Pelodiscus sinensis: one gene and its partners. The protein of the gene in region 1 purifies or fractionates together with the protein of each later gene. This does not show direct contact. Links are inferred from orthologs where the notes say so. Each region holds a gene or a part of one and is shown in the gene's direction. Other genes may lie near its edges.

Region 1 (7,557 bases):
TAGTGAGGAGGGCTTTAAACTAGGTTTGTTGGGGGACGGTGACCAAAACTCTGAGGGGAGTGGGAAAGTTGGATATCGGGAAGAAATTCAAAGAGGAACAAGCAAGAGAGGAGGACCCCTGATTCAAATGGAGAAGATAGGGCAATCAACTGGTTATCTGAGGTGTTTGTACACTAATGTGAGAAGCCTGGGCAACAAACAGGAAGAACTGGAGGCCCTGGCCCAGTCCAAGAAATATGATTTAATTGGGATAACAGAGACTTGGTGGGATGACTCGCATGACTGAAGCGCTGTCATGGAAAGGTGTAGACTGTTCAGGAAGAACAGGCAGGGGGGAGAAGGAGTTGCACTATACGTAAGAGAGCACTATGATTGCTCTGAACTCCAGTATACTGAGGGAGAAAAACCTGATGAGAGTCTACAGGTTAAGTTTAGAGGTACAAACAACAGCAGTGATGTTGTGGTTGGTGTCTGCTACAGGCCACCGAATCAGGTGGATGAGGTAGATGTGGCTTTCTTCGAACACATTAAAGACTAAGGGTACATCTATACCAGCTTCCAGATTGCAGGCCCTGGTTCTTGTGGGGGACTTTAATCACCCTGACATCTGTTGGGAAACCAATACGGCAGTACACAGGCAAACCAGGACGTTTTGGGAGAATGTTGGGGATAACTTCTTGGTACAAGTGCTGAAGGATCCGACCAGCAGCCATGTGCAGCTTGACCTGCTCACAAACAGGGAGGAACTAATAGGGGAAGTAGAGGTGGGTGACAACATGGGAAGCAGTTATCATGAGATGGTAGATTTCAGGATCCTGACCAAAGGAAGAAAAGAGAGTAGTAAAATACACACTTTGGACTTCAGAAAAGCAGATTTTGACTCCCTCAGAGACCTGATGGGTAGAATCCCCTGGGATGCTAACATAAAGGGGAAAGGAGTCCAGGACAGCTGGCAGTATTTTAAAGAAGCCTTATTGAAGGCACAGCAAAAAACCATCCCGATGCATAGCAAGAGAGGCAAACATGGTATGAGACTGGATTGGCTTACAGGGGAAATCCTTGGTGAACTTAAGCACAAAAAGGGAGCTTTCAAAAAGTGGAAACTTGGACAAATGACCAGGGACCAGGGTTTAAATGTACAGCTCGAGAATGCCGGGGGGTTATCAGGAAAGCAAAAATGCAAATGGAATTGCGACTGGCAGAGGATGTGAAGGATAATAAGAAAGGTTTCTACAGGCATGTTAGCAAGAAGAAGGTGATCAGATAGGGCGTGGGGCCCCTACTGGATGGAGTAACCTAGTGACAGATGATGTGGGGAAAGCTGAAGTACTCAATGCTTTCTTTGCCTCTGTATTCACGGACAAGATTGGTTCCCAGACTAATGCGCTAAATGACACAAGATGGGATGAAGAACAACAGCCCTTGGTGGATAAAGAACAGATAAGGAACTATTTAGAAAAGCTAAATGTACACAAATCCATGGGTCCAGACTTAATGCATCCGAGGGTGCTGAGGGAGTTGGCAAATGTCATTGAGGAGCCTCTGGCCATTATCTTTGAAAAGTCATGGAGATCAGGAGAGATCCCAGATGACTGGAAAAAGGCAAATGTAGTGCCCATCTTCAAAAAAGGGAAGAAGGACAATCCAGGGAACTATAGCATGGTCACCCTTACCTGGTTCCTGGAAAAATCATGGAAGGGATCCTTAAGGAATCCATTTTGAGGCACTTGGAAGAGAGGAAAGTGATTAGGAATAGTCAGCATGGATTCACAAAGGGCAAGTCGTGCCTGACCAATCTGATTAGCTTCTATGGTGAGGTAACTGGCTATGTGGACATGGGAAAGTCAGTGGATGTGATATACCTTGACTTTAGCAAGGCTTTTGATACAGTCTCCCACAATATTCTTGCCAGCAAGTTAAGGGTATATGGATTGGATAAATGGACTATAAGATGGATAGAAAGCTGGCTAGAAGGCCGGGCCCAGCGGGTAGTGATCAACGGGTCAATGTCAGGATGGTGGTCGGTTTCTAGCGGAGTGCCCCAAGGTTCAGTTCTAGGACCGGTTTTGATCAATATCTTTATTAATGACCTGGATGAGGGGAAAGATTGCACCCTCAGCAATTTTGCAGATGACAGTAAGCTAGGGGGAGAGGTAGATACTCTTGAGGGCAGAGATAAGGTCCAGAGTGACTTAGACAAATTGGAGGATTGGGCCACAAGAAATCTGAAGAGGTTCAACAAGGACAAGTGCAGAATCCTGCACTTGGGACGGAAGAATCCCAAGCATTGTTACAGGCTGGGGATCAACCAGCTAAGTAGTAGTTCTGCAGAAAAGGACCTGGGGGTTACAGTGAATGAGAAGCTGGATATGAGTCAATAGTGTGCCCTTGTAGACTAATGGCCTAGTAGGTTGCATTAAGAGGAGCATTGCCAGCAGATCCAGAGATGTCATTATTCCCCTTTATTCGGCTCTGGTGAGGCCACATGTGGAGTATTGTGTCCAGTTCTGGGCCCCCCACTACAAAAAGGATGTGGACGCATTAGAGAGGGTCCAGCAGAGGGCAACCAAAATGATTAGGGGGTTGGAGCATATGACCTATGAGGAAAGGCTGACAGAGTTGGGTCTGTTTAGTCTGGAGAAGTGAAGAGTGAGGGGGGATTTGATAGCAGCCTTCAACTTCCTGAAGGGAGCTTCCAAAGAGGATGGAGAGAGGCTGTTCTCAGTGGTGACAGATGGCAGAACAAGGAGCAATGGTCTCAAGTTGGGGTGGGAGAGGTCCAGGTTGGATATTAGGAAAAACTATTTCACTAGGAGAGTTGTGAAACACTGGAATGGGTTACCTAGGGAAGTAGTGGAGTCTCCATCTCTAGAGGTGTTTAAGTCTTGAGTTGACAAAGCCCTGGCTGGGTTGATTTAGTTGTGAAACACTGGAATGGGTTACCTAGGGAAGTAGTGGAGTCTCCATCTCTAGAGGTGTTTAAGTCTTGAGTTGTCAAAGCCCTGGCTGGGTTGATTTAGTTGGGATTGGTCCTGCCTAGAACAGGGGGCTGGACTTGATGACCTTCTGAGATCTCTTCCAGTTCTATGATTCTATGATATTTATTTGGGCATAAGCTTTTGTGGGTAAAAACCACTTTGACAGATGCATCCTGATATTTTCTGTCAATTTGAATGCTAGTTTGAGGGTGAGGTTCACTAACAGTGGTTAAAATGTATTAATAGAATATGTAAAACCTATATAGTTATTTATAAACAACAGATTACATTTTAAACGTAATCTGTCAGAAAATGCTGTATCTTAAAAACAATTATCCCCTTTTGTTGACATTTTCAATGTTCTGATGATGCCTCAAATAATTTCATTGGTAATAATTCAGTTGAATAATATAGCTGCTCCATCTAGTGGCTACAATGTTGCTCTCTCCCGGAAATAAAGACCTCACCTTGTTTCAACATTGTTTCTGAAAAGGATTCCACCTCTACAACATTTTTACATATATATGGAGCTACAATGTAGCTAAGAGCCATGTCATTTGTTAGGGGGCTTTCAGGGGGCTATCAGGGTTCAGAAAATCTGGGATTCACTTTTCTGGGCTTCTTTGCAATGTGTCTCTGCAGCTGAGGGTAGCAGCACCACTAGCTCAGGGATCCATGTAGGGCAGGAAGCAGGAATAACGTAGCCTATACACCACAAACACACACACTCTCACATCCCGGGCTCCACGCGATGCTGCCACTTTGAAACACCATGGGGACCATGGGGACCTGGCTCTCTCTCTCTCTCTCTCTCTCTCTCTCTATATATATATACACACACACACACACACACACACTCTCTCTCTCTCTCTCTCTCTCTCTCTCTCTCTCATATCCCGGGCTCCACGCGATGCTGCCACTTTGAAACACCATGGGGACCTGGCTCCAGGTTTCAAGCAGCGGCTGCCGCTTGGAAGTACCCCCTCCACTTCCCCCCTCCCTTTCTGCCTCTTTCTGATGGGAGACAGCAATGGGGGAAGTGACTAGTTGACTAGCTTGTGGTGTATCCCATAAGCATTTGCTTATGGGATAGTCGACGAGTCCTTCACATCCCTAGGCAGGGGCCATGCTGCGAGGCTGCGAACCCCAGGCCCAGGCTGGCTGCCCCGGGGCGTGCGAGCACAGGGAACCTGCCCCTGGGCGCAGCTGGGAAGGCTGGGTTGCACGGGCCCGCACGCACCGCCCGTCCGCCACAGCAGCGCGGGAGGCTGGGGGTGCAAACTACAACCCCCAGCATGCCTTGGGCGCAGCCTACGTGGAGGTGCCAGCGCCGCCCTGCCGCTGAGGCTGCTGGCACCACGTGGTGGCAGCATGGCCGTGTTTGCGGATCTGAACGTCCCGCGCGCGCCGGACCTCAAGTCGCTGCAGAATTTGCTGGAGGCCGCCGCGCACCGTGAGTACCACCCCCTCCCCCCCAGGCGCCGGCCAGGTCCGCGCGGCTCTCCCAGCCTGCCGGGCGCTGCGGGCTCGGGGCGAGTCGCCCATTGGCTGCTGCCCGTGCAAGAGCCGGGGTGGGCGCTATCCAGCGGTAGCTCGCGTGCAGGGGTCCCCCCATTGCCGGCCTGTCTTGGGGCGGAGAGCGCTGCTCCCCGCCCCGTTGGTAACCCCTGGCTCTTGGGCAGGCAGCAGCAGCCTGAGTGTTGTGCAGCACAGAAGTGAGAAGACAGATCCAGTTCTCATGGGGAGCTGGCTCTCTATGGGCCCCCACCCTCCATGCTGTCTCTGATACAGAGGAAGCAAGGTGGGAAGGAAATGTGCGTGGTCAGCAGGATCAACTGAGAAGCCTAGACTTATCGGTTAATCTGTAGTCGTCTACACATTGGCATCTTTAATTGGCATCACTTCATTCATTAAGTTAACATCTCTCATGTGGGACTGGAAAGCAGGGGTGGAAGTAACTTAAAATTTCTTACAGGTACTGTCCCGTCCCTGCCAGCTCTTTAAATAGCTCCCAGCTGGCTTTTGCCACAGCTTAGCCTTCTCTTGCTGAAGAGCTGTGCATCAGGGTGTACCTGCTTACTTTTACCTCTGCTGGAAAGATAGCCTGGCTAATTGTTAAGTATCAGAGGGGTAGCCGTGTTAGTCTGAATCTGCAAAAGCGACGAGGAGTCCTGTGGCACCTTATAGACTAACTGAAGTGTAGGAGCATAAGCTTTCGTGGGCAAAGACCCACTGCATCTGACGAAGTGGGTCTTTGCCCACGAAAGCTTATGCTCCTACACTTCAGTTAGTCTATAAGGTGCCACAGGACTCCTCGTCGCTTTGGCTAATTGTTGTGATAGTTCCAATGAATAAGCCGGTTTAAGCGTATCCTTTCTGTCATGGTAGATGTGCACTATTTCTAGTAAAACCTCTCTGTCCTGCCCAGCTTGGGACTTTTTTGTTATGTAGCTTTCTCAGCACAGGCTGGAGCCCTAACTCTGAAGCCAGCAAGGTGGAGAGTCTCACTGGATTTTGGGCTGGAGCTAGAGTCTGAATGTTTATATTACTATTTTTAGCTCTGCAGCAGGAGCCTGCGTTAGTTGACCTGTGCGCTGATTGTATAACTACACCACAGTTTTAAGTCCAGCTGGTCTGTGCCAGTTGACTCTCACCTTAGGGTAAAGGGCTGTTTATATTTGTGATCTAGACATTCAGGCTTACGCTGGATTTAGGGAAGTAGGAGATTAATGGGTTAACTGATAAGATGAGATTTATCAGTTTCTGTTAATGGTTTAACAATGCCTAGGATCCCACCTACCAGCTGTGTGCCTGAAGCTCCTCCTAGCTGCCAGTCTGGTGCCCAGGGTTCTGCTGCTGCCATGCCTGGGGTGCTACGGTTACTTGCTTTCCTGGCTGCTGCACCTGGCATCGTAGAACCCCAGGTTCCTGTGGGCTGCCAGCCCCTCTGGTCTATGAACCCCACAGCTGGGCTCTGGCCTGACGGCTGGGGTCTGTCAATCATCCGCTGCTGCGGCCTGGGATGCTGGCTACTGGCTCTGTACCTGTGATTCTGCTGCCACTTGGCATCCTGGCGTTGCCAGCAGCTGGGGGGCGAGCAGCTGGGACCCCTTGCACACCAGGATGCCTACTGAGGGCAGAGCCTTAGATGTGGGGCCATCAGGTAAGACCCTGGTGACAGGTGCTCCTCCGGTAGCCTTCCATAGCCTTGTGTGTCAGAGTAAACGTTTGACTGGGAACTGATAGAATTTTGGTTGGTTACACTGTTTTTGTTTTTGTGTATGATTTTATATCCCCAGGTTGAATCCTAGGACCCTGTAGGGTAGAAGGGTGCCAGAGCTCAGGCAGCTTGAACCCAAATGTCTATACTGCAACTAAACAACTTTGTCTGAGCCCCACAAGTCCATGGCCATGTCTACATTAGTACTTACATCAGTAAACCTTTTGTCACTCAGAGGTATGAAAATAACACCCCTGTGAATGGCTAAGTTTTGCCAGCATAAGTGCTCATATCCACAGTGCTGTGTTGGTGAGAGACACTCTCCAGCTGACATAGTTCAGAGAGCAGCAGTAGTTGGTTTTATGATATCAACAGAAGACCTCTATCCTGTCAACATAATACAGCTACATGAACACTCTTACAGCAGCACAGCTATGTAAGTGTAGACATGGCCTAAGTCAGCTGGCACAGGCAAGCTGTGGGTTTCTAATTGTAGCATAGATATACCCCAAGACTCTTTGCAGTGGGATGCTTTTGTATGTGTTTGGGGTCTTTTTTTCCCCTGAGAAGAGACATATCCTGAGGCACTAGTACTAGAAGCTCTTGTGTATGTGCTCTAACATTATGGTGCAAGTCGTCTTACTGACTTCCATGGGACTACTGTGTGTGTTCTTACAATTCAGCATCTGCATAATTGTTTGCAGGACAGCAGCCATAAGTCAGTGGCACAGCCATGGGCATGTGCATGGCACCACAATATGCCAACATCTTTATGGCTGACCTTGAACAGCGTTTCCTCTGTTCTCGCCCCCATCACCCTTACTTTACTTACGCGACATCAATGACATCTTCATCACATGGATCCATGGGAAAGAGACCCTGGAAGAATTTCACAAGGATTTCAACAACTTCCACCCAACCATCAATCTCAGCCTGGATCAGTCCACACGAGAAATCCACTTTCTTGACACTACAGTACAATTAAATGATGGACAAATTTCCACCATCCTATACGGGAAACCTACTAACTGCTACACTTACCTTCATGCATCTAACTTTCATCTCAGACACATTTCTCAATCTATTGTATACAGCCAAGCGCTAAGATACAATTGGATTTGCTCCAATTTCACAGATGGAGGGCAAACATCTACTGCTGTGGTTCTCAACTGGTGGTCCATGGTGACTTTCTTGGTGGTCTACAGGAACATTGTCCACAGGAACATTGTCCAAAGTCACAAGGCGTGAGCAGATGCCGCCATTAGGCTGTTTTAAGCTGTGTTCACAAGCCATAGCATCACCTAGGATTCAACCACGTTGTGTTGCCAGTAACTTCCGTCTGAGGTTCTGAGCATCAGT
Region 2 (7,796 bases), on another chromosome or scaffold:
ATTTCGGGGTGCAGGAGACGGGGGACCCCCAACGCGCCGTCCCACTAGTGGTTACCAACTTTTTCGAGCATACGGACCCCGTTTCAATCTATTAAAATTTCACAGCCCCCCCTCTTCCGGGGGGGGGAAGATTGGGATCCTTATTTTTAAATTTTCCACGGACCCCCTGCAGTACCACTGCAGACCACAAAGGGTCCACGGACCACAGGTTGAGAACCACTGAACTACAACAACAGGAAAGTATGAAGTGTCTACTACAGCTGCAGGGCTGTAGCTGTGCCGGTGTAAGAGCTGTAGCGGAGATGGTCTCTACGTCAGTACTTAGTTTTGATACATCCAAAGTTGCTGAAGTAGGTGATGATTGAGTACTTGGTGCTTTTCTTTCTCCATTAGAACAGAACGAATGTACCAGGGTCAAGATCTTGGGCCATGTGGTGGATGAAAGTGCCTTCTTTCAAATCAAATGTAAAACCAAAAGGTCCTAAACACTTGTCTTCTCTGAAGATATTTTGCTCTGAGTGGGATAGATAAACTCTAATGTCCTGGCCAGATTCACACTGGGGGACATGTCACTATTATCATTTACTGTTTGCATTGCCATACCCACAGCCCCAAACTGAGTTTAGGGCCCCATTGTGCTGGGTATATCCACACACACATAGCTAGAAGCAGTCCCTACCCTAAGATCTAAATAGATCAGACAAAAGATGAGAAAGGGGGAAACTTAGGCACAGGACGATAAACTGACTTCTCCAAAAATCATGCTGCAAGATGGTGGCAGAGACAGGTATAAAACCCAAATCTCACAGCTCCCCAGCCACTGTCGTCTCCAGCCTGTTGTCTGTTCCCTGGACTGACTCTCCGTTTTTCAGTAGACTCAACGGTCACTTCCTGTCCTAGAGGGCCAGGCAGCAGCCCTAGGAGCCGTTTCACAGCTGGGCCCAGCTCACCCCAGCGGACTTGGAAGTCAGGCTGCTATTTCCTGAAAGGAGCAGCATTCCCATTTGTATGTGTCTGTCCCAGCCCCGGGCCAGCCTATAAGCAGCCTTGCTCTGTGTGGTCACAATCTGTTCTCTTGGCAACCTTTGGCGGTACACCTGCCTATATTCCGCCCAAAGTGACATCACAATCAGTTATCATGGTAACCATTGACATCGCACCTGCAAATAGCCTTGCCCAGTGATGTCACATCATGTTGTCATGGTAACCTCCGGTGAAGGAGACCCTTGCAGAATTCCAAAGGAATTTCAACGACTTCCACTCCACCCTTAACCTTAGCCTGGACCAGTCCACACAAGAGATCCGCTTGACACTACAGTACAATTCAATGATGGCCACTTTTCCGCCACCTTATACCGCTACTGACAATTACACTTACCTACATGCCTCTAACTTCCATTCCAGACACATTGCCCAATCAACTGTTTACAGCCAGACCCTGAGATACAACCGGATTTGCTCCAGTCCCACAGAGACACACACCTTGTTCTACAGGATCTCTGTCAGGCATTCTTAAAACTTAAATACCCACCCAGAAAAGTGAAAAAACAGATTGACAGAGCCAGATGAGTACGCAGGCATCAACTTCTTCAAGAGAGGCCCAACAAAGAAAACAACAGTACACCACTGATCATCATCTACTGCCCCCGACTTAACCCCCTCCAGTGCATCATTAACAATCTACAACCTATCTTGGAAAATGACCCCTCACAGGAGACAGGCCAATCCTTGCTTACAGACAACCCCTGAAGCTCAAACAAATTCTTTCCAGCCACCATGCAGCACCCGTCCATCATACTCACCCAGGAATGCATCCTTGCAATCAACTCCGCTGCCAACTCTGTCCACGCAACTACACAAGTGACACTATCACAGGCCCAACCACATCTGCTGCCACATCAGAGACTCACACAATGGCACATCCACCAATGTGACCTATGCCAGTGTTTCTCAATGAGTGGTACGAGTACCCTTGGGGTACTCCATAGAACCATAAAACTGGAAGAGACCTCAGAAGGTCATCAAATCCAGCCCCCTGTGTGATTGACCAGGTCGTGTCTGGGCACAGCTGAGGGCGTCTGCTCAGACTGAATTGCTCAAATCCGGGGCTCCTTACAGCCCCCAGACTGGTGACCTCTCAACACAGGCCACAAACCAGTCCCACAGAGCACTTCAGCAGCCTGCCTGAAGCCTCATGAGCAAAACCCCTCCGACACCCCAGCAATATCCGTGCCCCAGATGGCCCCGGGCCTATACACAGGTGGGGGGGTCCTAGCACCCAATCCCACCTACCCTGAACAAGTTCTGTCCGGTTCCAAGAAACCAGCCACAGATCCCTGGTCAATTTACCCTCTGGATCTTACCCACAAATCACGCTGGGCCAATCCTTTAGAATCTATATCTAAAGGTTTATCATCACAAGAAAGAAAAGCATGAGAGTAAGGTTGTTAAAGAATAGTACGTTACATGCACCGAATCTCCCAGTCCTCGATGCAGGCTCTAGCAGAGATGTTACAGCTGCTGGTTTAAAAGTTCTTGTTGCACATCCTAGCATCAGGATGGGTTCACAGGTCTTCCGGGCTCTTCGATCCCTGCAATGCTGCCTCTGGGATGAAGTGCCAAGCTCAGAACAAAATGGAGTCCCCCACATGGCCTCTTTATACCTCCTTCCTGACCTCTTCTTGGCTGAAGCCGGTCACCTGGCCCTCAGTCTCTCTCTCCTGGCAGCTCTTAGGTCTCCGCCCTCATGCTTTAGGTGTGTCCTTGGCCCATTGAGTGCCATTGTCCCATAGGGCCTCGCTAATTAGCATGTCCACAGGCCAGGCTCTGCCCAATGCTCAACCACATTCAGAGAAATATTCAGCTTCCACACAGATTCTTACCTATACACATAGACACTATACACTCACATAAATAGCGTACACAGGATTAGCAAACAGTAAGCTCCCATTCAACACCCCACATGGCCCCCTTTTATATCTTTTTTGGGGCCAGCACCCCCACCTATGGGTGCAGCCATGATCTGGCTGCTTCCCTCAAATTCCAGTAATGTGACACCCTGCTCTAGGCAGGACCAATTCCAACTAAATCAACCTGGCCAGGGCTTTGTCAATCCGAGACTTAAACACCTTTAGGGATGGAGACTCCACTACTTCCCTAGGTAACCCATTCCAATGCTTCACCACCCTCCTAGTAAAATAGTTTTTCCTAATATCCAAGCAGGACCTCTCCCACCACAACTTGAGACCATTGCTCCTTGTTTTGCCATCTGTCACTACTGAGAACAGCCTCTCTCCAGCCTCTTTGGAACCTCCTTTCAGGAAGTTGAAGGCTGCTATCAAATCCCCCCTCACTCTTCGCTTCTGCAGACTAAACAGACCCAAGTCCCTCAGCCTCTCCTCATAAGTCATATGCTCCAGCCCCCTAATCATTTTGGTTGCCCTCCACTGGACCCTCTCCAATGTGTCCACATCCTTTTTGTAGTGGGGGGTCCAGAACTGGACACAATATTCCAGATGTGGCCTCACCAAAGCCGAATAAAGGGGAATAATGACATCTCTGGATCTGCTGGCAATGCTCCTCTTAATGCAACCTAATATGCCATTAGCCTTCTTGGCTACAAGGGCACACTGTTGACTCATCTCCAGCTTCTCATCCACTGTAACCCCCAGGTCCTTTTCTGCAGAACTACTACTTAACTGGTTGGTCCCCAGCTTGTAACTATGCTTGGGATTCTTCCATCCCAAGTGCGGGACTCTACACTTGTCCTTGTTGAACCTCATCAGATTTCTTGTGGCCCAATCCTCCAATTTGTCTAAGTCACTCTGGACCCTATCTCTGCCCTTAAGCGTATCTACCTCTCCCCCCAGCTTAGTGTCATCGCAAACTTGCTGAGGGTGCAATCCATCCAATCTACTCGAGAGAAGTTAGGGGGAGCTACATCAACACAACTGAAAAGTGGAGAAGACTGAATTTTTGTTTTAAGTTTTACAGCGTTTTATTATTTTTGTATTACTGTTTACACCCAAAAATGTCATCGCCCACCCAGCTACAAATAAGTTGTTCAAACAAATGTGTTGCAATAGTAGAAAGAACTGTTGTGTGTCTGGAAACTACAGGTCCCGGGGTCCGTATAGATCTGTTCTTTGTTTTTAAAAAAGGGGCACTTTGTAAAAAGGAAGTTGAGACGCAGGGATCTCTGCCATCAAGGGCCAGGCGTGCCCCTTGGCCGTGGATACTGGGCGCCCGGGCAGGCCCTAGGGCAGGAGACGAACCGGCACAGAGCAGGCCTGGCACCCGCTCGCGGATCTGGGCTCTCACAGAGCCGGGCCAGCTGGAGCGGGTCGCTGCAGAGCCTGGTCCCGTTCACAAGCCGAACCCCGGGCACCCCGCTGACGTCACAAGCCACGCTCGGCACGGACACGCCCACTGACTCGAGCCGCGCCGCCCCCTTCCCGTTCCGCGCGTGGCTTTTTCACACGCCCACCCTCCGCCGCGCCGAGTGACGTCGGAGCACGTCGTCATGGCAGCCGCCGATGTCACGGGGAGGGGGGGGGCGAGCCTGGGCCCCGTGACCCTCGCGCGCCACGGGCCGTGAGGGCGACCGACGCAGGGCGCGAGCTGCTCACGTGACTCCCAAGAGCGCCGCAGCCGTTACGGGCCCGGCGCCGCGCGCCCCCGTGACGTCACCCCCCGCGCGACGGGGAGCCGCCATCTTGGCGGCGGGGCTGGCGGCGCGTGCGGCGGCCGGGAAGGGTGAGCGCGGGGCGGGCGGCCACTTCCCCCCCCCCCAGTAACCCCTCCAGGTCCGGCCCCTCCCACGCTCCTCCCGTCACCCCCCCCCCCGCGCCTCCGAGCGGGCAGCCCCGCCCCCCGCATCCAGCCAGACCCCCCCATTAGCGAGACCCGTAAACACCCAGCCCGACCCCCCCCCCGGGACCTTCCCACCGCCCTGGGGCCGCCCCCCCCCGCGGCCCCCCAGGCCCCTGCCGCGCTGGGCCGAGGTTGCTCTTCCCTGCCCCCCCGGCCCGTCCCCCCCCGCCCCCACCCGCCGAGCAGAATCCCCCCCCCGGCCCGTCCCCCCCCGCCCCGTCCCCACCCGCCGAGCAGAATCCCCCCCCCCGGCAGCGTCCCCCCCCGCCCCCACCCGCCGAGCAGAATCCCCCCCCCGGCAGCGTCCCCCCCCGCCCCCACCCGCCGAGCAGAATCCCCCCCCGGCCCGTCCCCCCCCGCCCCCACCCGCCGAGCAGAATCCCCCCCCCGGCCCGTCCCCCCCCGCCCCCACCCGCCGAGCAGAATCCCCCCCCGGCCCGTCCCCCCCCGCCCCCACCCGGCATGTAGCCCTCGGATCCCGTCATCCCCCTTCCCCCCTTTCAGACACTGACCCCACATCTGTCCACCCAGCCCCCCCCCCCGTATCTTTCCCAACTCCTCTTGTTCCAATGAGGCAACGTCCCGTTGACTTAAAAAATAACAGTCCTTCCTTTCCTGCTACTAACAGCTCCTGAGCTCGTTCAGCTCCTGCATTTCATCAGTGATGCTATTTGTTTAGCTTTGCCATGTCTCTCCATTTGGGGCTGCAAAACTAGATCAGTTACTTTCAGATTCTGACTCCCATGTGCCATCCACACACAAGCAGTGCTTGGATTGCAGATAATATACGAAATAGTTTTAATCCAAGCCAACCTGCTATTTATTACTGAATTTTTTAAACTACTAAATTGCTCTTTGTAATGTTTTCTCTTCTTTCTCCTTTGTCTTTTCTAACTCCAAAATGTCAAACTCCAGTATCTAGTAGCAGCTTAGACGGGAGAATTTCATTTAATTGGGCAAATGACATTTCTAAGTGGAGTTACATAAAGTGGAGGTCTTGGGTGTGTTTGGGCCTAAAACTCAGTATGTATTTTTCTGTAGCATGTAGCTAGAGGTGCCTAAAACTGTCACGATCCTTTTCAGGCAAATCTAAGCAACGTGAGTAAGAGGCTCTGTGTGTGTGCATGTAAGTGTGCACAGCTGGACTTCAGCTGGGAGGAAGGGGCTTTGCCCCTTGGGACTGGGAGAGTCTTGGAAGACAAAAGGGCTTGACGCCTTTATCCTTACAAGTGTGAGGCTCAGAGCTTCAGCCCTACGGGGTAGCTTCTGATAGTATTCAGTGCATCAAGCAGTCCTGACAGCTTGTGGCCACTTGAGTTTAGAACCACTGCTATGGAATCTAGCACAGTGAGGGCCCAGTCCACAACTGGGTCGCCTGAGTGCTATGGTAATACAAATTAATAATAAAGTGGATTCTACTCAACTTTTTATCAGTCAGGTAATATAGCCTGTGAAATTAAATACCGTGCCTTTGTGAATAATAATTAGAAGCATGCATTGATACTGGTTCTTCTCATTTACAGTGGTGCATAATGGAGAACTATAAGAAATCCAAGATTGTGGAGAAGCCCTTTCCCATTCCGTTCACCAACCTGCCTTCAGATATTATCGAGATGAAGGTGAAGGATGGCAGCAAAATCAGAAATCTTATGGGTTATGCCATCGGCAAGATGGAGTCGGACTCGGTTAGGCAGATCCTCTTCACTGGCTCTGGCAAAGCTGTCAGCAAGACTATCACTTGTGTGGAAATCATGAAGCGAAGGCTCAAGGAACTTCACCAAATCACCAAAGTGCTCTTCAAACAGACTGAAGAGATCTGGGAGCCCATTGTCCCTGAGGCAGGTCTAGATGCCTTGACAGTGAAGAGAAATATTCCTGCCATTTGTGTCCTGCTGAGCAAAGATGCACTAGATCCCCAGGAGCCTGGCTATCAGGCCCCAGGCTCTTTTGATGCCTTCTGGATCGAAACACTCAAAGCTGAGTCTCAAGCACAAACTAAAAGAAAGCAGGGTGGAGGAAGGGGGGCTGGCCACACAGGAAAGCATCCAAGATCTATTGGAGGACGTGGCGAATTGTACAAAAAGCCTTGAGACGGAGACGTATCCAAAGCCATTTTTAATGGCATCAGGAGTAAAAAAACAAGCCTGCTCAACTGTTGCCACCAAATAGTGACTGAACTCCTTGGCAGAGGAGAGCTGAAACCTAGCACAAGTGGGAGAGGGAAAAGGGGCATGTGGAAACAGGGCCATAGCGTGGCAAATACATTCCTCTCATAACAAGTCTGGAGTCTGTCTTGACAAGTCGTCTTGCTGAAGACCTGCATGGTGATTACTCTGCTGCGTGTGGCTTACTAGTGAAAGAAAGTAGCCCAGAATTGCCCAAACTCTCCTTAATGAAGAATAGGGAATTTGCCAGGAGTCCTGAGGCCAAAACAAATGTGCATTAAATGGAGCTGATTTCAGCTGCCCTGGATGCTACTTGGAAGATGGAACTGGGCCATGCATCTGTGTTAGAGATGAAAGGGTGGAAGGCTATGGGATAGAACTCTGAGTTGAGGATGTTTTTGGCTTTCCCAATTGCAATGGCATTTTATTAGACTGGACCTCCTAACAGAGCCTTTAGGCTCTGTTTCCCTTTTTTGGCTATGTTCTGCTGATCCCTGGATCTCAGCTCTGGCAGTGACTGAATGGGGAACGTTGGGCACCACAGGGATTTTGTGCGGATATACTAATTGGTAGAAATCACACTGACAGAGCTCTGTGTAAGTGTTCGGCACAGTTGTTCATAGTGAATGCCAACACTAAAACTGTGTTCCTTCTGCTACTCCTTTATGATTCATACAGCAGAATTTAAAATAAAGATCCCTCTTGAGTTTTACATCAGAAATTTTGTCTCTGTCCTTTCCTCTTTTTGCCGAAGCCATT
Region 3 (7,240 bases), on another chromosome or scaffold:
ACACCCACAGGAAATTAATGGGGACCGTGTATCCCTACAGCAGCTCTGAAAATCTTGGCACTGAAATTCTCATTTCTTCTATGAAACACACACCTGTTACTAAACCCCCAACCACTGCCTTTCCAAGGCTTTGTCTCTGCTATGATTTTGTTACTCTTTTAAGCTTCTCCCCCCTCTGCCCTTTCCACTGCTAATGTGAGCTTCAACTCCACTGTTATAACTTCCACTCCAATTAATATGATAAAGTGGGTTTTGTCCAAGAAAGCTCATGATCCCATATATTTTGGTTAGTCTCTACGGTGCCACAGGACCACTCGTTATAACATTAGGCTATGGCTACACTGGCGGCTTCTTGTGCAAGTATGGCCGATATTGTGCAACAATCAGCAGCGCATCCACACTGCCCACCGGCTCTTGCACAAGAAGATTTACAGTATGGAGTGATAAGAGGGCTTCTTGCGCAAGAGCTATGCTCTTTATTAACAGGTGTAAGCCCTCTTGCAAAGGAGCTCTTGCGCAAGAGGGCAGTGTGGAGGCTCAGCAGGGATTTCTTGTGCAAGAAAGCCCTATGGTTAAAATGGCCATCAGAGCTTTCTTGCACAAGAGAGCGTCCACACTGCCATGGGCGCTTTTGCACAAAAGCACGGCCTGCACATGGCAGTGTGGATGTTTTATTGCGCAAGACTTCTTGCACAAGAACCCTTGTGCAAGATATTCTTGCGCAAGAAGCCGCCAGTGTAGACATAGCCCTGGTGTGGGCAGTAACTGGCACTGTAAGCCCCAGGTGTGGAATATACAAAGGTATTTAGGCACCTTGAAGCCAAAGGGAAATAGGCATCTAAATACCATTCTGAATCTCATCCCAGTTCCTGTAGACCAGCTCTGGGTTAGAGGACAAGATGATGAAAGTGCCAGCTGCACAGATGAGGCTGAAAACAATAGTATCACTAGCCAGTAGTTTGGGGCAAGTCAGCTAAGCATACACGTCTCAAATTAAAAAAAAAAAAGTATTTCCCTGAGTTTCCCTGGATTGTCTTTTTCAATTTTAAAATCCTTGGGCCTGGAATCATATTTTCTTTTCTATCACACAGCTATAATCACCAACTGCATATCTAACAAGACCCCCTTTAGAAAGTCACATTGTTTTCTTCTCTAAATTAAATACTTGGACATCTCTATTATGTAGGCACTCACCATTGGTGTAGTCACAGCCTGCAGCTTTCAGGATTTCCCCTATATTTTTTAGAGCCTATTGAAAAGAAAAGCAGTCTTGAGGTACTGACATTAAGCTATGGCTTCTCTACATACCAGCACCTCAAACTGTAGCTATCAAAGTTTACTCCAGACAACCTCAGATAGCAGCCAACCTTTTCATTAGACAAGTGAAAAGAAAGGTAGGCTACAAATCATCTCACGTAGTGACTGTGCTTCCAGCAGGCCTTCTATTTTTATTCCTTGATTTAAATCACAAAAAGCCACATACATAAGATGAAAAGTTCCCCACTGCAAAAGAACAAGGTCCAGAAGCAATGGCTTGACAAGTAAGCCATCTGGCCCTCCTAGCTGCTAGGATTTGTATTGAGATCCCCTTCCTGGGGTCTGGATTGAGGCTTAATCTTTGTCATAAGTGTCTAATGAATAACAAGGTAAGTGAGATAATATCTTTTATTGGACCAGCTTCTGCTGGTGGACGGGCTAAGCTTTTGAGCTTCAGAACTCTTCTTCAGAATACAATACTGAAAACAGTAAGTAATTGTCCAATTAAATTTAAAGCACATTTCCCCCCCCGATTCCGGAAATGAGGATTTCTCACTATTTTCCTCCTCACCCTTACATTATTTCTGGTGGGGACTGAGGAGGAGGCATTTTCAGCTACTTTATCCCTCCCCACTGCTTCCTGGATTGCTATGTAGAATGATCTCCAACACTGCAGCCTTCATATTTGGGCTTCTCTGTTCTCGGTGAATAGCTCTAGCGACTAAATACAGGCCAAATACTAAGTCACTCAAGTATTAAAATGTATTGTTAAGAGACTTATGATAACTTCTTACCTGTTTAGCCTCTTCTTTTGCCCCTCCAGGTACAAGCTGACCACTTCTAGGATCTATGCCTAGCTGTCCTGCGATATACATTGTCCGATCAATCAGTACTGCTTGACTGCAATATAAGCCATACATATATTTACAGCTCATCCCGAAAAATCTCATTTCCATCCAACCACTCAGAACTATACACTATTTTGAGCAAGCCCCTTGTGGAAATCAGGGACGTAAAATCCCATTTAATTAGTTAACTGGTTAAATGTTATGTTTAACCAGTTAAAGTAAATAGAGCAAGCGGGGATGCCACTCTAGCCCAGCTGGGCTGGAGCAGACACCTGCCCACCATGGCCCAGCCAGGCCAGCCTCCCCCTCCACTATGGACTGGGGCTGCCTGCAAGTCCTGTGAGGCTGAAGCAGCCCTCTACCTATGAAGGGCTCTACGTGGCTGGAGTCTTCGTGTCTCAGTTGAAAATGGCGATAATGCTTTCTTTGTCAGAAGTTTTGAGATCTATAAATGAAAAAGCATTATAAATGTTCTTACAGAGCTCGTGTCATGTATCGGCTTCCTACTCCCCCCTTCCCTGCCGATATAGAGGTGTGTGTGTGTGTGTGTGTGTGTGATCATTATGGTTAACCAATAAGACCAGACTTATTAGTTAATCAAGTAATTGCCTACATGCTAACATCTCTAATAGATACCAAAAATACAAATAAAATGACAAGCCACAGATTTACAAAAAAAGTAGACTAAGCCCTGGCAGCTGATAGCTTTTTATTTTTTACTGGACATACCACCAAGGGTTTTGATTATTTAAAGCCACATGACTGCAATATGTAATTGTTAGGACTGGGTCATTCCAAAAAACACACAGACCATGGAAGACTTATGGGAACTTCCCGCATTATTTTTATTTATTATCAGATTGCATGGGCTTGCTAATGTTGGTGTCCTAGGAGCTTTAAAAAGACATGCTTTTAATATTCAACAGAAATCTAATACAGTAAATTAAATCCACATTTTTAGTCACTAGTTGGCCATTGCTTGACAAATCAGCTTTAAGTTGATTACAGTCATGAATGCAAATTCTGCACACCTGCTCTCTGGCTTTATTGCTGAAGTGTGCTGATGGGATTTATGCTCCAGTCTCAGCAAATTCAGCATATTTTGATTGCCACAGAATATAAGGCTGCTGGCACAGCACCCAGTTATTTCGGACAGCAAGCATGCAATTAAAGACTTCAAAGCCCACCGCAAAACATTATGTAAATGCCAAAAGATTTACTGAAATAGGACTGCCCAGTAATAATGCTTGTATTCACTCTCATAAAGAGACTGAAAACAGAATTTCATAATGCAGGCAGATAAACCTATCATTACGCAGCCACAGGCACAATTAACATATATTCAGTGATAATTAAAAATAATGAATTTCCAATAATATTGTGGACATTTTCCTCATTGCAAAATATCTGCTGTCATTTCCCCATCTCCGTGTCTGTTCCCTTCCCACACCTCCCAAGGGGCCGAATTGTGTCTTTAGCCCAGATCACGAAGTCTTCATCTTCTCCTTCAAGTCCACCCTAAAGTCCCACTTCTTCTGCAAGGCTCACGGGCCGCCAGACTAAATGGGAAGTTCCTCCACGTTGTCCCCTGTGTTGCCGCGGCCCCCCCAGTAAGTTCTGCCTGGGCCAGTCTACGGCCCCGCGCCGGACTCCTGCCCCTGCCGGCTGCAGCACCAGGCAGAGCGAGTCTCCCGCCGGCGCGTTACCTGTAGGGGCCCATGGCGGCCGGCGCCCCGGGGGTGCTGATGATTCTCCGGATCAGGGTGGCCATGGCTGCCTGCGTCACGCGCCGGGGACCCCGCGCTGCGCTGCCTGCGGACCGGCTGCCCGTCTCGCTCTGGGAGCGGAGGAGTCCAGCCCCGCCCACGTGTGTGCACAGCCCCGAACTGCGCATGCTCCCTTAGAGGACCGGGGGGGGGGGGGCCCTCCCGGGGAGGATGCTGGGAGATGCGGCGCTAGGGGCTGGAGGCGGGTACGACCGGGCTGCTGCGGCTGGGAGCGAGGCCGAGGGAGCCGCGCGCCGCCGGGGACAGGGACAGAGGCCAAAGGAGGCTGCTCCCACGCGGGGCGGCCCCGCTGCCAGGTACCGCCCGGGCGTGCCTGCCCCTCCCCCCGCTGTGCCTGGGGGGACTCTCCCTCCCCCGCCCCCTCCCCGCCGTGCCTGGGGGGGGGGACTCTCCCTCCCCCGCTCCCTCCCCGCCGTGCCTGGGGGGGGGGACTCTCCCTCCCCCGCTCCCTCCCCGCCGTGCCTGGGGGGGGGGACTCTCCCTCCCCCGCCCCCTCCCCGCCGTGCCTGGGGGGGGGGGACTCTCCCTCCCCCGCCCCCTCCCCGCCGTGCCTGGGGGGGGGGACTCTCCCTCCCCCGCCCCCTCCCCGCCGTGCCTGGGGGGGGGGGGACTCTCCCTCCCCCGCCCCCTCCCCGCCGTGCCTGGGGGGGGGACTCTCCCTCCCCCTCCCCGCCGTGCCTGGGGGGGGACTCTCCCTCCCCCGCCCCCTCCCCCGCCGTGCCTGGGGGGGGACTCTCCCTCCCCCGCCCCCTCCTCCGCCGTGCCTGGGGGGGGACTCTCCCTCCCCCGCCCCCTCCTCCGCCGTGCCTGGGGGGGGACTCTCCCTCCCCCGCCCCCTCCCCCGCCGTGCCTGGGGGGGGACTCTCCCTCCCCCGCCCCCTCCCCCGCCGTGCCTGGGGGGGGACTCTCCCTCCCCCGCCCCCTCCCCCGCCGTGCCTGGGGGGGACTCTCCCCCCCGCTGTGCACCCTGGGCGCCCTGTCCCTGCATTGCAGCGCTGGCCTGTGGGATGCGGCAGTACAGCTCCCCAGCAGCGAGTCCTCGCGCCCGCCGGCTGTGCTGAGTTGTAGCATGAGACCCGCCGAGTCAGGACACGCCGTGCACCCCTCCTCCCCCGGCCTCCTCACTCCAGGGGAAACGCACCTGCCGCGTGCCGTGCTCCAACCCGTTCAGCAGCAGAGGAAGTTCGGTTTGGATGGTCATAGCTTGTAAGCCAGTTGTTATAGAGCATGCAGACAAACCCGTCAATAATTATTTTGTGCCGTGGCTGGATTGTTTTGAGACTGCTTGCAGTTTTCCATTTTATTTCTCTAGTCCTTTATGCCTTCTGTGCACACTGATTTTGTACCAATAAAACTATTCTGCTAGATCTTGCTAATTGATCCAGCTTCTGATGCAGCTGCATTTCTCTCTAAAGGTGTGTTACATCTAAGTTTGGCAAGGTTAGTTTTTTTTATCTGTAAATGTCAGTAAGTATTGATTTTAACACACACGGGCAACATTTCCATTGATAACTGAAATTTATAGATAGCAAAAGTTAGAAAAATGATGCATGATAACTTAATTTGATTTAAGAATATTTACTTGGTATATTTTGCCATGTGATGTTGATTTTGTCTTCTAATGGTTACAAAGCTTTAACATTTGGAATCTTGTCATTTACTCTCATTGAATTGGAGTCCCCCCATAACTTTGTGGAACTGAAAATTTAAATTGATACAAACTAAAAATGTTTAAAAACTAACACCTGTTGAAATTAAGCTAACATTGAATTCTGCAAAGCTTATTTATACAGTCAGTCCCCGACTTACGCGGATCCGACTTATGTCGGATCCGCACCTACGAACGGGGCTTTCTCGCCCCGGAGCTCACAGGCAGCGGTCAGCGGGCGAGAAAAGCTGCTCCTGGTGCCCCTGGTCTGCTGGGGACCGTCTCCAGCAGACCAGAGGCGCCGGGAGCAAACCCGCAGCCGCGGGGGGTCCCGCGCTTCTGAGGCTTTGCTCTAGCAAAGCCTCAGAAGCGCGGGGACCCCGCCGCGGCTGCGGGTTTGCTCCCGGTGCCCCTGGTCTGCTGGGGACCGTCTCCAGCAAACCAGGGGCACCGGGAGCAAAGCGGTCCGGCGCCAGAGCAAAGCCTCAGAGGCGAGGCACCCCCCCCTCCTCCGCTGCCACTTTGCTCCCTGTGTCCCTGGTCTGCTGGGGGGGGCGCAGCTAGTGTGCCCGCCCCCCCCAGCAGACCAGGCTTTTGTTGTGGACCTTGGAGCAGAGCAGCTGGGGCGCTGCCGGTTGGTCCCGCAGCGCCGCTCTGGGCACTACTGGACCAACCCGGCAGCACCCCAACTGCTCTGCCCCAGGCGTCCTGATTCAGCCGCTGCTGGTCAGTTTCAGCAGCGGCTGAATCAGGACTCCTGGGGCAGAGCAGCTGGGGTGCTGCTGGGTTGGTCCAGTAGCGCTGAGGAGCGGTGCTACTGGAGCAACCCAGCAGCACCCCAGCTGCTCTGCCCCAGACGTCCCCAACTCAGCCGTTGCTGAAACTGACCAGCGCTGACTACAGGAAGCCCGAGGCACAGTTGCTCTGCCCCGGGCTTCCTGGAATCAGCTGCTGATCAGTTTCAGCAGCAGCTGACTTGGGGTTCTTAAGTTGAATCTGTATGTAAGTCAGAACTGGCGGTCAGTTTCAGCAGCGGCTGAATCTGGAAGCTAGTTCCGACTTACATACAGATTCAACTTAAGAACAAACCTACAGTCCCTATCTTGTACGTAACCCGGGGACTGCCTGTACTACTGTAACCTTTTGCTCTTCTCCTGACCTACTGGATTAGTTGTTACAGCGTAAAACACCTTTATACTAATAGAACTGCAGCAATATGTGGGGAACTTGTACCTCTTAATTGTACTGGTGTATAGGTACAATTTGAGTGTGTAGAAAAGGCCACGTGGAAGAAGAGTACATGTACTGATGGTCTTTTTTTCCCCAGAATGTCTAATGCAAGAGAGAAGAAACGTGCCAAGAAAATGAGAAATCAGCCTTCCAGTGTCACCTTATCTTCTGATTATGGACCATGTCATAGTGGAATACAGCACCATAATGGTGGAAGTAGATCTTTTCAAACTCCAAAACAAGGTCTGAGATGTGTGAATTTCATTTTCAACATTTATTGAATACAAATAATCTTTTTCCCCACTCTTGTCTTTTGGGTCAGGGTTTAATGCTTTGGAACCAATGGCACTTCTTCCTCTCATCACCTATGTAGGTAAATTAAGTGTTCATAAAGAGATGAACTGATAGCATAACATTTTTAGGACCAGCTCTTGCAAGGTTTTTTGCACTTTAAGAGATGCCATGACCTT
Region 4 (7,882 bases), on another chromosome or scaffold:
GTCCGGTAGAAAAATTTAGAAGATACTGGACACATGCAATGTCTGGTATTTTCTGAATTTCTGGCTAGGTGCTGGACGGAAGCCTGGCGGTGGTGGGGGAGCGACTGGGAGGCGGGGTATGATTGGCGCTGGGAGCCCTGTGGTCGCATGCAAAAGCAGGGCAGGGCTCAGGCAGTGGCTGGGACTCCCAGCCACTCTCCCCGCCCAGCTTCAGCACACAACCGGAGGCTCCCAGTGCCAATCGTGGCCCCGCCTCCCAGCTGGGAGCCTCTAGTTGCGTGCAGAAGCCAGGAAGGGGGCGCGGCTCCCAGCCCTGTCCGGCTTCTACTAGCAACTAGAGGGAGTTCCTGCCAGGGGTGCGACCTGTTAGACTCCAGCTGCGGCCAGTGGCTGCACCCCCCCCCCCAGCTCTGCTTCCCACCCCCCCTTCCTCTGGCCCCCCCTTCTACTGTCCAGCCCTTCCCCCGGCCCCTGATCCCTCCAAGATCTGCTTCCCACCTCCCCTTCCTCCTGGCAAGCCCCATGGCCCCTGCCCTCCCTGCCAGCCCCGCCCCCCTCCTGGCAGGTGCCTCCCCCTGCCCATGATCAAGTGTGTCTGGTATTTTTGGGGGGAGGGGAGAGGGTCTACCTGGTAACGCTAGCCCCACTGCCATGTATATTGGCCAAACTGGCCAGCCTCTACTGAAAAGCATTAACGGACACAAACCAGATACCCAAAAAGTCAACCCAAAAAGTCAACACACAGAAACTTCTTGGAGAACACTTAACCTGCCCAGGCACTCATTAATGGATTTCCAAGTCACCGTGTTGTTTCAGGTCAATTCCACAAGCCAAATGCACAGGGAAGAGTTGGAATTTAAGACAAACTTGTAAATTAAGTTATCAGCATGGAATGAACAGAAGTATTGGCTCCCACACTACCTTCCACATCCTAATGACTTAAGAACAATTAGTACTTCCATTGTTGTTTGGTTATCAGACTCTTGTAACTACTTGAACAATTTATTCACTGTCTTATTTTTCCTCCTGTCCACCCCCCCTTCCCTTATTTATTCTTGGATCTAGACTTTCAACACTCCAGTCATCTGAAGAAGTGGGTTATACCCACCAAAGCTCATGATACCCTCTACACGTTTTGTTAGTCTTTAAAAGGCGCTACTAGACTATGTGGGTTTTTTTTAAGTTTTTCCAGTTACAGACTAAGTCAGCTACCCCTCTGAAGCTTTTGTCCCTACAAAGTTAGGGCAATTGGTCACCCTACAAATAATATGGGTGTGTGTGTGTGCGCGCATCCATATTGTGGAAGACAGTCATTTTTCCAGAAGCCAGAATTCCTTGTCTCGGTAATTCGTCCAAGTTATTCCCCTTCCCCGACAAAAAAACCCTGAGTGATTCAATAGAGAATCATAGAGGAGGGGGAAGGAATAATCAGCTACAGTTCTATAGCACTTTTTGGCAAAAATACTTTACAAACAGTAGTTGAGTTTCAAAGCATTCCCGTAAATTAGAAAAGTATTTTATCCCCATATTACAGGTTGGGAAAAGCAGCAAATGCAGAACTAAAACCCCAAAACTTTGGCTTCTCACCTGATAGTTAAAATATCAGAAACATTACTGGTATAATGCTCCTACCCAACATCTCTTCTCCAGTCTCTGTAGATACCCTAATTGGTTTGGAGAACACAGCCCTTCACATTAGGAGCATAGATATTAGGTTCAGAGACACCAGGACATATCACAAGTTAGCTTTCTATTTGTAGAGGAATTAATGGGATTCACAACGGAAAGCATTTCAGAGACAATCACATTTATGTATATTATATTAACACAGGCAAAAAACCCTATAGGATTATCAGAGTAAGAAGATTTTTGTTTAAAAACCCCCACCTACTGCTGCCTTTATTCTTACCAGATTTAGGACCCACCGTGAAGGAAACAACACCATCAGAGTGGATAAGAATGCTTCCCAGACCTCTAATCACTACAGGGTGGGAGTCCTGAATCAGCTGCTTCATTTCATAACAACATTGAAAGCAAAGGGCCCAGGCTTGCTCCTCACTTATGGGCTGGTCACAACATCTCAGAAACTCTCCCAAAGAGATCTTAGTAACATTCCATTGACATCTTGAATAATCCATTTTTTACTTTCACTACCCTCCATATACTTGCTTTTGCCCAGGCTATTTTACATCCTCAGACAGCTGTAGGTGTTTTTGGCAGTTTTTATCCATTCTGCCTTATATTTCCTTCAGGTGAAACCAGTTAGAGCTACTTAAGGCTACAACTTCTTAAAGGGACACTTTTACTTTCATCATCTTCTCTCTAGTTATACAAGCATCAGTGACTGAAGACAGAGAGAAAAAAATTAAAAGGCATTTTGAAAGATTAGAAGCCCGAAAAATTAATGTCTGAGTGTAACTCCACTGCCTTCATCAGGTTTGTAATGAGAATAAATATGACTCCTGGGTCCAAAAATTTAGATTCAGCATGGAAAAAGAAAAAAATCATTGTTGGTGGGGGTGCAATTTGCATACTTGGTGGGAAGGAGACACCTGGGAATCAATGATGTTGGAAGAGACCTCTGTACCAGTAGACAGTAAATAGAGTGATGTGTTTTCAGAGGCCTGTCCTATGAGGAAGCCAGGCAACCATATTCTGTACAAGCTGGAGCTTGTGCATTTTATCCACTTTCAGCCCCAGAAACTGAGAGTTACAATTTCCGAGCCTGAAGGTAAAGGACACATGGCTCACTCTGGCCAACTCTTCATCTTGGGGGAAGGAGTAGTTTCTTAACCAGCTGCAGCTGGAAGAAGGATTTTCTTTTTGTTCAGTACTGATGCTTCCTGATCACCCAAAGGTAAGGCTATGCTTACCCTAGCAGTGACTTAATGGTATAGCTACAGTGATAAAACACTCCTAATGTGGGAAAACACTCCTGTGCTGCATCTAGACTGGCAAGTTTTTCCGCAAAAGCAGCTGCTTTTGTGCAAAAATTTGCCAGCCGTCTACACTGGCCGCTTGATTTTGTGCAAAAGCACTGATGTTCTACTGTCTGAAATCAGTGCTTCTTGCGCAAATGCTTTGACATTCCCGTTTGGGCAAAAGCCCTTTTCCGGAAATGTTTTTGTGCAAGAGGACCAGTGTAGACAACTAAAAACTGTTTTGCGCAAAAAAGCCCCGATGGTGAAAATGGTGATCGGGGCTTTCTTGCGCAAAACCAAGTCTATATTGGCACGGACACTTTTCCACAAAAAGTGCTTTTGTGGAAAAGCGTCCGTGCCAATCTAGACGCTCTTTTCCGCAAATGCTTTTAACGGAAAAACTTTTCCGTTAAAAGCATTTGCAGAAAATCATGCCTGTCTAGACGTAGCCCTGCACTTTTGCCTGTATAGCTTGTTCCAGCTCCCTCTCCCATAGACAGGGCCCCCAGGTTTTGCACCACTTTGGTGAGAGGTGGCTGGATGCTTGTGCTAGGAGGTAATGTGGGTGGATCACAGGCATTCCCACAGAGATGAAGTGATGTTTTTGCATTTTATCATTTCCCCATACGAATGCCGTGTCATGATCATCCCATAGCTGTTGTTATTTGGGTTTTAGTGCCCGAGGTGAGGTGCACACCACATGCTGTGGTAGGCACATGGCGAGCCCCTACATCTCAAAAGGGATGTGATGGTGTGTGTGGCGATGGTGGCACTGCTCATGGGGACAGTGAAGGGTTGTCTGTAATTGTGCACCTCTTCTCCTGGCACAGCCTGGCCACTGCTTTGAGCTGTGATGGGAAGTGGAAGCCAGGGTTGTCAGGTGTCCGGTATTGAACTGGACAGTCTGTTATTTTCATCTCCTGTCCAGTAAAAAAATTCAGAAAATACTGGACACCTAAAATGTCCAGTACTTTCTGATTTTTTTCCCAGCCAGGAGGCAAAACCCCCAGGTTGTCTGATTCAGTATGGAGGCAGCCTGGCAACCCTAGTGCTTACTAGGGAGCTTTCTGACCCAGCATAGGGAGGCAAGATAGTGGGCGGCCACCGGTAAGCTGTTAGGGCAAAAAAGCCTCACCATGCAATTTTTAAAAGGGGCCATGGTGGGGTTTTTTTTTTTTTTTTTTTTTTTTTGCTCAACACACTTTTTCCTGGCATGTTTTTTTTTCTTGTTGTTCTGTATTTTTTCTGAAACCATCTGGCAACCCTAGTGGCAGCAAGAGACAAGGCTTGGGACGGGCACCAAAAAGGGCAGGTCCCTGGGCAACGCTGTGCCAGGATCCCAGCCAAGGGGGTGCACCTTGGAGAGATCTCAGCAGCGCTCCCAGCCCTTGGGGCTCACCCCTCAAGCCCCCCCAAAACCAGGAGACAGGAGACCCATAACAACAACAGACTAAGGGGCCCTGCGCCAGCCCAGCCTTCAGGCTCCCCCGGGGCGTGGCTTGCAAGGGGGCCCCTCTTGCGCCCCCTGCCTCCGGGAGCCGGCGCCTTGCGCTACGGACCCCAGCGGCCTCCGCTCCCCCCTAGCGCGCCGCGCGCCTGCCTCCGCCCAGACCACTTGGTTCCACCTTCCCCGCCCACCCCCACGCGCCCGCTTTGGTTCCGTCCCGCCTCCCTGCGCTTGTAGTTCCGCCCCCCTGATCGCTACTCTCCTGCCACCCCCCACCCTCGGCAAGATGGCGGCGCCCATGGCGGGGGAGGCAGCGTGGAACCGCTGGCATGTGCCGTGGCCGGCGAGCTGCGCTACGGTGGCCGTGGCGGCCCAAGACCCCGCAGGTGGCCGGGCCCAGGGCAGCGCTGGGGAAGGGGTGCGGGGAAAAGCGAGCACGTGCCGGGAGATGGGAGAGCATTGGCTGGGGGGGCTGCGCTGGGAGGATGCAGGGGCCAGAGGGTAGCAGTGGAGGGATGGTTGGGGGGGAGGTGGGGTGAAAAGCAGCTTTGGGGGCTAGTGGGGGGGGGGGAGAAGAGTAGAACTGAGCAAACAGGCTCTGCAGCATCTGTGGAGAACTCCCCACGCGCCCACCCCCACGTGCGGGGCTCTTAGCTTTTGCCTTTCCTGTCTGCAAACTTGAAGCATCTTTGACGTGTTTCATATCCTCTGTGGCTCTGAAACAGCCCGGCACATATTGCACGACGCGTTTGTGTCACTGGCATTGTCAAGGATCTGGGAATAGATTTTTTTTTTTTTGTAAGGGCTTGATCAGTCCCAGAGTTCTGTGGGTTTGTGGTTTAAATACAGAGCAGAACCAAACTAGAAGTGATTGTGATTTATATTTTTTTAAAAAAAAACCCTCCCCCAACTCGCCACCTTTTTATTTCTATTCCTTTGCAGTTTTAAGAACACAAATCCAAATATATTAGACTAGTCCTAGTGATACTGCCTAAGCTTGTTGAGCTGTCCAAACTCTGAGGAATGGAAAACAGAAAAAGTGGGGAGAAGTAAATTACTTACGATTCTGTTTTAATGAAACCTCCATGTGTTATAGCAGGGGGCAGAGACCTATGGCTCAGTATGGCACCAAAATATGGCTCTCTTGGCCATCCCCGCTGCCCCGTATGCTGGAGCTGGAGCCGGGCCATGGTGGGGTTGTCCCTTCTTGGTCAGCTGTACTGTGGCCCCAGTCCCAGCTAAGGATGTTAAAATGCAATGATCTGGCTAACTGAATAGTCGATACAATTTGTATCGATTATACAATTAGTCAATAAGCACTGCTGTTCAGAGCCACAGCGGAGGTAGTTCCAGGAGCCGGCTCTGGGGCCACCTGTGCTGCTGCTCTGCATTTTAAATGTAGTAAGAGCAACTGGCTCTTGCTACATTTAAAATGCAGAGCAGCAGTGATCCGCACGAGCCAGGACTGCTTGGTCCTGGCTCACTCTGTGTCCAGTAGCCCCTGTTCACGGCAGACACCCCTGTGTACCAGACTAGCCCCTGTTTGTGGTGGCCCGGGCTCCCTGCTGGGACCCCCGTGGAGAAGGGCTGTTTCCCAGCAGCGTCCCCTATTCTCCTTCCCCTGCTGTCTCTAATAGAGGCAGCGGTGTGGGCAAGCAGCACCCCAGAGACGGTGCGGGGGGAACCAGCTTTTAATCCAGTTCCCCCAAGCACCAGCTCCTCCTTCCCCCCATGCTGCCTCTCTTATAGGAGGTTGCTGCAGAGAGCACAGGGTGAGCAGAGACTTCTTGAGTCCCTGCTTGCCCCAGGCTCTGTGTGGCACTTCTGCTTTTGAAATGTACAAGAGCCCTGCAGGGATCTTGTACATTTCAAAAGCAGAAGCTCCCACAGTGGGAACTGGTGCAAGTGGGGACTGAAGCAGTCCCCACTCATACTGTTTCCCCGCTGTGACTCTACCTCCCTTGCCCCCTGCAGAGACAGTGCTGGGGGGAAATGGCTTAAAGCCTATCTCTGATAGAGGCAGCTGGGAGGGGGGAGAGCGACTAGTTGAGTGGCTACTCAACTATCAGAGCATGGTCCGGTGGAGCTGTGTGGTGGGCCACTGCCCTGGAGCTGGAGCCAGGCCACAGTGTGGCTGCTTCTGGGCTGGGGCAGCTGCACCGTGGCATAAGTAAGGACTAAAAGAATGTATTGCAGGCAAGAAATACAAACTGGTATTTGTTCAAATTGAAAGCCAGACAAGTAGTCCCTAGCGCTTATGAGGTGTGTTTCTTTGGTCCTTGTGCTTTGTCACATGGGTTTTTATACATTTATGTGGTGCTAATATGATTTATCTTGTATGAAGCTCAAAAACAACTATTTTAATGTCTCAATTTCTCCCCCCCAGTGAAATGTCTTCCAGCTGTTATTACAGGATGTTACAAGGTCAACACGTTGCTAACCAGTAAAGCTGTGGATGCAGAAGGAAAAGTTTTACATTCAATCCTTTATGGTTTCCACAACTCAATGTCTCACCATAAAACCTATTTGTCTCTGAAACAGGTCAGTAAGATGAAGCTGCTTGAAATAATTATGCTTGGAAGGAGCCTTCTGTGTATCTCAGTTAGAAGTACACTGCAGTTTTTTCAAAACTTTCTTTTGAAGAAGAAATTTGCCAGGCTTGTTTTTATTCCAAACGTGGATTTTGGTAGTTTCATAACACTCTTCACTTGTTTTTAAGACATTGTGGGTGTGTCTAGACTACAGGTTTTTTTTAAAAAAAGTAGCCTTTTTTCGAAAAAATAGTACCTGTGTCTAGACTACCGCCGCGTTCTGTCGACAGTAAATCAAAAGAACGCGACGGTTTTGTTGACGGCAGTAAACCTCCTTCTACGAGGAATAACGCCTTTTTTCGAAAGTCATCTTTTGAAAAAAGGCGCTATTGCATAAAAACAGGGCTTTTTCAAAAGAGAGTGTCTAGACTCTTTCAAAAAAGTGAGCCGCTTTTTTGAAAAATCTTCTTGTCTAGATGCTCTTTTTTGAAAGAGGCTTTTTCGAAAGATACTTTCGAAAAAGCCTCTTTCGAAAGAGGCTTGCAGTCTAGATGTAGCCTGTGAGTGAGTCCCACTGGGTTTTTTGAACCTTTTCCTACTCTTTTGTGGTCATTGAGAAGTGTCACTTTTTTTTCCATAAGAGCAATATTCAGAATCTTTGTGTTCAAATTAAGATGTTAAATAAATCTAATTAGATGTTTTTATCCATTTCATGCTTCTTAGAGTTCATTAAGAATAGAAATACAAACAGTGGTGGTACATTTATAATGGATGGGGTAAATAATCCAAAAATTGCCTTTGAAAGACAACTTCTGCAAGCTATCCTTGAGAAAGAACTGAGTTTTTTTTTAAGGGGTCGTTAAAAAGTGAAGCTGAATATTTTTGCTGAATATTCTCAATATTTTTTAAAAGTGGTGGTGTTCTATCTAATGAAGCATTCTGTTAATTTTTCTAACAAAATTGAGGCTACAACCCAGGTTTTC

Evidence for each region.
Region 2: the proteins of RPP30 (region 1) and RPP25L purify together in Homo sapiens (co-immunoprecipitation; 3 studies listed by BioGRID and IntAct, counting the BioPlex papers as one, with this or other methods). This does not show direct contact. The link is inferred for Pelodiscus sinensis from reciprocal best matches to the Homo sapiens genes RPP30 and RPP25L.
Region 3: the proteins of RPP30 (region 1) and POP1 purify together in Homo sapiens (affinity purification with mass spectrometry; 5 studies listed by BioGRID and IntAct, counting the BioPlex papers as one, with this or other methods). This does not show direct contact. The link is inferred for Pelodiscus sinensis from reciprocal best matches to the Homo sapiens genes RPP30 and POP1.
Region 4: the proteins of RPP30 (region 1) and RMP64 purify together in Homo sapiens (affinity purification with mass spectrometry; 3 studies listed by BioGRID and IntAct, counting the BioPlex papers as one, with this or other methods). This does not show direct contact. The link is inferred for Pelodiscus sinensis from reciprocal best matches to the Homo sapiens genes RPP30 and RMP64.

The regions. Positions count from the first base shown.
Region 1 is NC_134718.1:40,357,277-40,364,833, forward strand, and holds the start of RPP30 (ribonuclease P protein subunit p30), read left to right. Parts: upstream 1-4,273; 5' UTR 4,274-4,349; coding exon 4,350-4,431; intron 4,432-5,824; exon of another isoform or gene 5,825-6,101; coding exon of another isoform or gene 6,102-6,141; intron 6,142-6,277; exon of another isoform or gene 6,278-6,383; coding exon of another isoform or gene 6,384-6,435; intron 6,436-7,557. UniProt on the Homo sapiens protein: Component of ribonuclease P, a ribonucleoprotein complex that generates mature tRNA molecules by cleaving their 5'-ends. Also a component of the MRP ribonuclease complex, which cleaves pre-rRNA sequences.
Region 2 is NC_134716.1:127,360,943-127,368,738, reverse strand, and holds the start of RPP25L (ribonuclease P protein subunit p25-like protein), read left to right. Parts: upstream 1-4,618; 5' UTR 4,619-4,755; intron 4,756-5,441; exon of another isoform or gene 5,442-5,970; intron 5,971-6,292; exon of another isoform or gene 6,293-6,310; intron 6,311-6,395; 5' UTR 6,396-6,404; coding exon 6,405-6,962; 3' UTR 6,963-7,796. UniProt on the Homo sapiens protein: May be a component of ribonuclease P or MRP.
Region 3 is NC_134712.1:37,841,745-37,848,984, reverse strand, and holds the start of POP1 (ribonucleases P/MRP protein subunit POP1), read left to right. Parts: upstream 1-4,041; 5' UTR 4,042-4,042; coding exon 4,043-4,188; intron 4,189-4,828; exon of another isoform or gene 4,829-4,961; coding exon of another isoform or gene 4,962-5,098; intron 5,099-5,204; exon of another isoform or gene 5,205-5,332; intron 5,333-6,867; coding exon 6,868-7,013; intron 7,014-7,240. Other genes in the region: RIDA (2-iminobutanoate/2-iminopropanoate deaminase), read right to left, coding at 1,195-1,249, 2,052-2,157, 3,812-3,876. UniProt on the Homo sapiens protein: Component of ribonuclease P, a ribonucleoprotein complex that generates mature tRNA molecules by cleaving their 5'-ends. Also a component of the MRP ribonuclease complex, which cleaves pre-rRNA sequences.
Region 4 is NC_134711.1:148,120,912-148,128,793, forward strand, and holds the start of RMP64 (nucleolus and neural progenitor protein), read left to right. Parts: upstream 1-4,624; 5' UTR 4,625-4,654; coding exon 4,655-4,754; intron 4,755-6,754; coding exon 6,755-6,909; intron 6,910-7,882. Other genes in the region: protein spire homolog 1-like, read right to left, coding at 1,910-2,138. UniProt on the Homo sapiens protein: May play a role in cortex development as part of the Notch signaling pathway. Downstream of Notch may repress the expression of proneural genes and inhibit neuronal differentiation thereby maintaining neural progenitors.